Linked DNA regions of Neurospora crassa OR74A. The protein of the gene in region 1 purifies or fractionates together with the protein of each later gene. This does not show direct contact. Links are inferred from orthologs where the notes say so. Each region holds a gene or a part of one and is shown in the gene's direction. Other genes may lie near its edges.

Region 1 (3,937 bases):
TTGGGGGAGGGGAGGAGGATTTTGTTTTGAGGACGTGAATATGATACCTTTGATTGCGAGGCGTTGGACTTGAGTTCCATACCTAAAGATGGGTCTTGGATAGGTGGGATTTGTGTATAGAAAAGCTCGGCTATGGTTGGATAGAAGGATGGCTAGATGATGGATGGATTCAGATAGATGCTTCTCTGCGCTATGCGCGAGACGGACGACTGAAAGATGTAGCGGATGAGAACCGAAGAAGTCAGAACAAAAGATCGTGCCCACGAAATATGCGCGGTGACATTGAGCTGTGATTTTCCATCTAAGCTATGATGCTTAGACGTCCGACCATGACTGCGATGGAGATGTAGGTAGCTTGGAAGCTTGGGAATGGTGATGAGAGAAACCAGAATAAAACGATGTCTGGCTCAAATCATGTTTGCTGCCTTGAAAAGTAACCCCAATGCTACCGTTCCGTCGTTTTTGCGATGATAACCGAAGGGAAGGTTACTCGTAGTCAATTCAATGTCACGATCCACGTCGGGTCACGAACGTGACGGAGGCCTTATCTTATCTGGTGCTCTTTCCAAGGGAGCCTACCAATGCGTATGATTGGTACAGATGGAAGGTGTTCTTCAGCCCCATTTTATACGCGCTTATGAGTGGAGATCTATTACCTAGTATTGCCGTGACACTGCCATAATCAGCGATGACTTCATCTTCTTCATCGCAAAAAAAATTCAAATAGAATAAAAAGAGATGAAAGAAGATGGGTCCTTTGGATTGGCTCACAGCATGACATCAAACATTCCCCTTTGATTTTGCATCAACTTCCATCGCCAACGGAAGCATGTGGTTATCAGTTCAGTGACATTCAAAAGCAAGACTAACAAAGAAAACCAATTCATGTTTTTCAACGCAACAAGGCCAACACAACCTGGAAAGTGAATGGATCCATGGGATCAATCAGTCTGTGTTGTGTGTACAGACGGACGGGATGGCAGCGTGACGACTGTGACCTCTCCACCAGCTCCAGGCGGCAAGATGCCGCGCAGCCCCCCCCGCCTAACAATGGCCGCTGCCTTGTGCCTGTCCACTGCACTTTGCCTGCCGCTTCCCCCCAGCCATTCACTGCCGTAGGTAGCACACCGTGAACCTGGCTACCCGCCTGCTGTGCCCCTCTTCCATTCAGTGCACTCAGGTGAAGCGAACAAACCCCAAATTCTCCGCCTCAAAGCTGCCTCATCAGTCATCACAAGCCGCTGTAAAACGTTCAAGCTTCCCTGCTACCTTCCATATTTCTTGCCACAGCGATTACAACTATCTCCTCCCCTGTATGCCACCTCGCCATCTCTGCGGCAGCCTTCCCACACACATCAACCTTACCACAGCAACCAACTAACCACTTCCACTTTTTTTCCTCGTCCTCGCCCAACTCCGCCGACTGCAACAAATCTTGCTGTCTCCCATCGCGACTCGGAACCCAACGAAGCTCGCCCGTCCGGACAGACTTTACTTACATCATCAGACTCTCAGTGTCAACGTAGCAGCCGTTTAGCTGCGTCGCAGATTGCCCATCATGAAGGTTACTTTCAAGGTACGTGCCCATAAGCTTGCCCATGTCGAGTGTTTGACGTAGCCAGCCAGCCAGCCAGCCAGGCAGACAACGAGCCAGACGTACCGCGATGGCTTCTCAGCAAATTCGGAAACAACCCAGCGTCTTCTTTGAATCCTGTCTGCCTGGTTGGATCAGAGCTCGCTCCCTCTGTCCATAAGCTCTCAAAGTCTATATAGTCAAATACTAACAATGACTGTTCGTTCATCTAGGACCTCAAACAACAAAAGTTTACGCTCGAGATCGAGCCTACCGAGACTGTTGGTTACCCTTCGTCGCCTCCCATTTCCTTACACCCTTTACCTCAGGCCGACGTCATGGAGACATCCAACACGCCGTGACAGCCCTCGACAATCGAATGCTCTGTCGGCGTCGCGAGCCTCCCATGTCGCTTCGGGAGACGTGCATGATGCTGGCGAGCTAGAAGCTAACCGGTTGCAGATTTCCAAGGTCAAGCAGAAGATCTCCGAGGAGAGGGGCTGGGCTCCCGAGCTGCAGAAGCTTATCTACTCCGGTAAGCATCGCTTGCTTCTCAAACGATGGATACCGCTCCCGAATACTGACTTTACCCCAACAGGTAAGATCTTGAAGGATGAGGAGACCGTCGAGTCGTACAAGATCGAGGAGAAGGGCTTCGTTGTCTGCGTCGTGAACAAGGTACTATTTCCCCCGTTATTACTCACGTCCTTGTACAAAGATGAAGCTGACACTTTGCGCAGCCCAAGACCACTGCCCCCAAGCCAGCCGAGTCGTCGTCGTCTGCCGCTGCCCCCGCTACCCCCGCTGCCGCCGCCCCGGCCTCAACACCTGCTCCCCCTGCCGCTCCCGCGGCCTCCAGCGCTGCTGCCGCTGCCCCTTCGACGCCGACGCCCGCTAGAACCGCTGCGGCTCCTGAGGCGGCCCCAGCTGCCGGTGCTCGCGATGCCAACGCCCTTGCCATGGGCGAGCAGCGCGCCGAGGCCATTGCCAACATGGAGGCTATGGGTTTCGAGCGTTCGCAGATTGACGCTGCTATGCGTGCCGCCTTTTTCAACCCCGAGCGCGCTGTGGAGTATCTCTTGAACGTACGTTTCACAACTCATTCCACTTTCCGATCTATGTCTGGTTTACTGACACAGCTTTAGGGTATTCCCGCCAACCTCCAGCAACAAACTGCCTCTCGCCAGCCTTCTGCCGCTCCGGCTGCTGCCCCTGCTGCTGCCGCTCAGGCGGCTTCCCCCGCTGCTGCCGGTGGTGATGATGACGATCAAGTCAACCTTTTCGACCTTGCCGCTCAGCTCGGCAACAGCGCTGGCGGACGTGGTGCTCGTGGTGCGGAGGGTGCTGGTGCCGAGGCCGCTGGTCTTGGTAACCTCGACTTCCTCCGCAACAACGCGCAATTCCAGCAAATGCGTCAGCTTGTACAGGAGCAGCCCCAGATGCTGGAGCCTATCTTGCAACAGCTCGGTGCCGGCAACCCTCAGCTTGCCCAGATGATCGCCCAGAACTCGGATCAGTTCCTGAACCTCCTTGGCGAGGGTGGTGAGGGTGGCTCTGTCGGTATTGCTGTCACAGAAGAGGAACGCGATGCCATTGAGCGTCTCACCCGCCTGGGCTTTCCCCAGGACCAGGCCATCCAGGCCTACTTCGCTTGCGACAAGGACGAGGAGCTTGCCGCCAACTTCCTTTTCGATCAAGGACCGGAGGAAGATGACGACATGCCCCAACAATAAATAGGGGTGAGACTGTAGGCTGGAATGAGATATTTTTGGGTTTTTCGTAACTGGGCGTTAAAAGTCGTTGGCAGGGTGGATTTTCGTTAGCAGCTGCCTTTGCATTTGAAATGTGGGCGACGGCTGGATGGTTTGGGCTTGCTTAGGATGCATTGGAGACTTTATGATGACATTATACCTTAGGGAGCTCAAAATGCTCAACACTGCTGATCAACGTTCACATGCAATATACGGGTGGGCTTTGTGTGTCTGATCTATCCACTGCGCGACAGGTTTCGACGAGTTTTAGTAAGGAAGCATCAAGAGTGAATGGGGTGATGACACTGAAAAAAATGCTTCGCGGAGATCTAGATCAAGGATAACTACAGAGGTGTGGTGTTTTCACAGCTTACGAATCACTCTATTCTTTATGTACTCTATAGTCCTGTCCCTTGAAGAGTGAACGAAGCATTCCCATCACGAACCATAACCAGCAATGAAAACGAAGATAAGATCCGAGACCATGAAACCGTCCGCATACAAGTAGTATGATCAAGAACCCTTTTTTTTTGTGTGTCTCCATTTGTTTTTCCCTTCCCTATTTCCATACCTAACTAAGTGCCCCTCCGGTTGATGGGTATATAAAACCTAT
Region 2 (4,087 bases), on another chromosome or scaffold:
AGTTGAGCTCTCCAAACTCCACCTACTTCCTAACATCCATCATAAAACAAGGGGACAAAAACGAGAGAAACGTACAGTGACACTGCTGACGTTGGGGTGCCAGATCTTGGTAATAAGATACATCGAGGGCGGCTTGAACGGGTACTTATCCGGAATCTGAATGTCGACCTCGTATGTACCCCCAGCATAGGGCGAGTCTGGAGGGCCGCTGAAGGAGCCCTTGAGGTGCGACAGATTGCTCGAGTCGAGAGGTTCGGCCATGACGCCCGAGGTCTCGCGGTCATTCCATATATCCTGCAATTCCTTCGCAACGCGGCGCTCACGAGTAGTCGCCATGGTCAAGTGATGGGGTGTTGGTGCAGAGGAAGGGAAGTGTATTGCGCCCAAATGGGAATGGGAGTGGGTACAGTATATGGTTTGCTGTTGGACGCAAATAAGATGGTAGGAAGTGGTGTTCAGCGAAATAAGTGAAGTATAACAACGGAGTACTGATAAGATTAACCTTGTGGAGGGGTCAAGGAGGCCCGTGAAATGATGTTGCAAGGTGAGACGGGAGGGTTTCTTCAGTGATGGAGGAGCTGGCAGTGGAACGAACGACAGGACGTTTTAGGTTTTCTTCCGCAACTGATCGAGGATTGGCGAACCGGGCCTGCTTAGGTACCGTAGGTTATTTGTGAATGCAAGGCTGAAAGAGCATTCGCTGACAAGGTGAGATGGTCGTCGTCACTTCCTGTCGAGGGAAAGGAAAGCAAAAAGGCAACTTCAAGAGTCAGGTGGGGAGCAGCGTCCGTAGAGGTACCCAAGAGTGCCAAGAGTCAAATGCTCACATAACCTAATTGGCGAGCGTGGTGTTCTTCCTAGTGTTTTGATCGCCTCAGCCACACCTTGCTTTATTTTTTAGTATAGTACGGGCAAGGTTGAGGACGAATGACCACTGTCGCCCTCCAATGTACACAAAGTTGCGACGGGATAGGATGGAAGCAGGAGGCTCTGGCTGGACTCGTCCCTGGGATGGTCCCCTCCCTTGCCAATGTCGTGGCCATGCGCTGTATGTATGGGAAAACAGTCCGTCATACGGTACAAGTACAAACTTAAAGCTGTGCAGCTTGTCCAGGTATGGTCAGTAGACAGATCGAATGCAAACGCACAGCAAGTGCTAGGAGCGCTCAAACGACATGCAAGGTGCTATTGCCCCCGGCAGCTTAGTAGTCTTGATGGTCTGTGCGTCAGGTGTACGACTGGACGACAGACGGATGAGGTGTGTCGCGTTCACTGGGGGCCTGAACTGGAGCTCGCCATCCCGTCGCAACTGAACCTCAAACGGGCATCCGCCAACAACGAACACCAGCACAACTTAATCGTTTCCATCACTGCCGCTGAGATCAACGAGTTCAGATCGTGCGGCACTTTTGCGACCCCATCATATAATTCTCAGCACCCCTTTGAGTCTTCCACCACACTTTCAAGAATCGCGAAAGGCGGACCGTCAACATGGTCAGTTGCCGCAATACGGAGCTGAGCTCAAGCTTGCAACGCATCGCATACTGACAAGCTGCGCAGGGTCAAAATCAGTCTGGCATGGGCGGAGGCCAGGACCCTTCAAAGTCCAAGAAAGATAAGGTAGGATGGCTTCAGTTGCGTCAAGGTTTCTGTTGTGCGCGGCATGCTTGCTGTCCTGTGAGACTCAGGCGCTGACATCATGGACATCGCTAACCACCATCGCCACCAAAACAGAAAGATAAGCCCAAGTACGAGCCGCCGCCGAAGCCTACCACCCGCATCGGTCGCAAGAAGAAGAGACAAGGCGGTGCCAGCGCTGCCGCCAAGCTCCCCTCAGTGTATCCGACAAGCCGATGCAAACTCCGACTCCTACGAATGCAACGAATCCACGATCATCTACTGCTCGAGGAAGAATATGTCGAAAATCAAGAACGTCTACGCAAGGCGAAGACCGCCAAGGACAGCAATGCTCCTGCGTCCGAGCTCGAGTCTTCCGACCGTATGGCTGACGAGCGCTCCCGTGTCGATGATATGCGTGGCAGCCCCATGGGTGTCGGTGTTCTCGAGGAGTTGATCGACGACGACCACGCCATCGTTTCCAGCACATCGGGGCCCGAGTACTACGTTAGCATCATGAGCTTTGTCGACAAAGACCTTCTGGAGCCCGGCGCCAGCGTCCTGCTACATCACAAGAGTGTCAGCATTGTTGGCGTGCTCACCGACGACACGGATCCGGCCGTCAGCGTCATGAAGCTTGACAAGGCGCCCACGGAGTCGTACGCGGATATTGGTGGCTTGGAACAGCAGATCCAGGAAGTTCGTGAATCAGTTGAGCTTCCATTGCTGCATCCGGAGCTCTACGAAGAAATGGGTATCAAGCCACCCAAGGGTGTCATTCTTTACGGTGCTCCCGGTACCGGTAAGACCCTCCTTGCCAAGGCTGTGGCAAACCAAACTTCGGCAACGTTCTTGCGCATCGTTGGTAGCGAGCTTATCCAAAAGTATCTTGGTGATGGTCCTCGACTGGTCCGCCAGCTTTTCCAGGTATGTAAAAGTGTTTCAAGCTACACTGTCAAATATATACTCTAACATGTTCCTCAGGTTGCCGCCGAGAATGCCCCTTCCATCGTGTTCATCGACGAAATCGATGCCATCGGTACCAAGCGTTACGACTCGACATCGGGCGGCGAACGTGAAATCCAGAGAACCATGTTGGAGCTGCTGAACCAGCTGGATGGTTTCGACGACCGTGGAGACGTCAAGGTCATCATGGCCACCAACAAGATCGAGTCGCTTGACCCTGCTTTAATCCGTCCTGGCCGTATCGACCGCAAGATTCTCTTCGAGAATCCCGACCAGAACACCAAGCGCAAGATCTTCACGCTCCACACCAGCAAGATGTCACTTAACGAGGATGTTGACCTGGAAGAGTTCATCGCCCAGAAGGACGATCTCTCAGGTGCCGACATCAAGGCCATCTGCTCTGAGGCCGGTCTCATGGCCCTCCGTGAGCGCAGAATGCGGGTGCAGATGGCAGACTTCAGAGCTGCTCGTGAAAGAGTTCTGCGCACCAAGCAGGAAGGCGAGCCCGAGGGCTTGTACTTGTAACATAACCGCATATTATCTGGCCTAATTTGCAAGACTTTTCAGATTTGGGCGGATTGCGACTGGGAATGGATTTGACAATTCAGCCTTGTGATGTCGATATCCAGCCATCACTAAGCGTACCTTAGTTTGAGTGAAGATGAAGGGATACCGTAGCGTTTTATCATGGAGAAAGAAGAAACTTTACGGTTGGCTCCTGTAAGGGTATGTTTTCCACGCCTTAAATTGTTGGTTCGTTGATACATTCATTGTGAAGTCCAGCTTCATGTCAGTTGTATCTACGCAAAACGTGAAGCCCACCACTGCCTCTCATCCTACTCATGTAAGCTTGACGCTGCACCTCCTACGTATGCTATCTCTCCCATTGTCACCAGGCGGCATCTAATCTATCCTTCTGCGTGTATCCTTCTCTCTATCTCTATACATTTAACCACCCTTTACTCTCCTGCTTGAACCATCATGGTCCCCATCACATATTCTCCTCCCCTGCTGATCAGCCGCACTCAAAGCCTCCACCAAGCCCATTACCCCCTCCGACCAAACCTTTTTACCATCCTTCGTATCTCGCCCTCGTTCCGGCCAAGGCACACCCCCTTTCGGAATCTCCTTCACCGTGATCCCCTTCCTCCCATAAAACTCCTCATTCGCACCCCCCTCGACACCACCACCACCGTCCCATCCATCGACTCCCCTGCATACAGCCCCCCTTGCTCCTGATATAACCGTACACCAACGGTTTACTATCACCATCATCCTTCTGTTTCTCTTCCCCTTGGTCTGAAATGGAAGAAGAGCGACCAGAACCACCAAGCACACCCTCTACCCCCGCCCCAGTTCCATCGGCCCAGCAACGATCCCTACGTTCCCACTGCGACTTACACGGGGGCGCTCAGCGAAAGCGCGCACACGGCCGAGGGGGTGCGTGAAACGCAGACGCAGTCCTAGATGTGGATGCCAGCGAGGAAGCCGGAGCCTAGGGAGT

Evidence for each region. Proteins that work in one complex are often made in the same cells at the same time.
Region 2: the proteins of rad23 (region 1) and rpt-2 purify together in Saccharomyces cerevisiae (affinity purification with mass spectrometry, with the first as the bait; 3 studies listed by BioGRID). This does not show direct contact. The link is inferred for Neurospora crassa OR74A from reciprocal best matches to the Saccharomyces cerevisiae genes RAD23 and RPT2.

What each region holds. Positions count from the first base shown.
Region 1 is NC_026503.1:4,431,842-4,435,778, reverse strand, and holds rad23 (rad23-like protein), read left to right. Parts: upstream 1-1,135; 5' UTR 1,136-1,558; coding exon 1,559-1,576; intron 1,577-1,806; coding exon 1,807-1,854; intron 1,855-2,035; coding exon 2,036-2,108; intron 2,109-2,171; coding exon 2,172-2,251; intron 2,252-2,313; coding exon 2,314-2,658; intron 2,659-2,718; coding exon 2,719-3,306; 3' UTR 3,307-3,806; downstream 3,807-3,937. UniProt on the Saccharomyces cerevisiae protein: Plays a central role both in proteasomal degradation of misfolded proteins and DNA repair.
Region 2 is NC_026505.1:3,289,352-3,293,438, reverse strand, and holds rpt-2 (26S protease regulatory subunit 4), read left to right. Parts: upstream 1-1,282; 5' UTR 1,283-1,491; coding exon 1,492-1,494; intron 1,495-1,560; coding exon 1,561-1,620; intron 1,621-1,734; coding exon 1,735-2,544; intron 2,545-2,601; coding exon 2,602-3,108; 3' UTR 3,109-3,531; downstream 3,532-4,087. Other genes in the region: NCU01225 (ubiquitin conjugating enzyme), read right to left, coding at 76-336; NCU01223 (hypothetical protein), read right to left, coding at 3,532-3,882, 3,985-4,087. UniProt on the Saccharomyces cerevisiae protein: The 26S proteasome is involved in the ATP-dependent degradation of ubiquitinated proteins. The regulatory (or ATPase) complex confers ATP dependency and substrate specificity to the 26S complex. Has ATPase activity.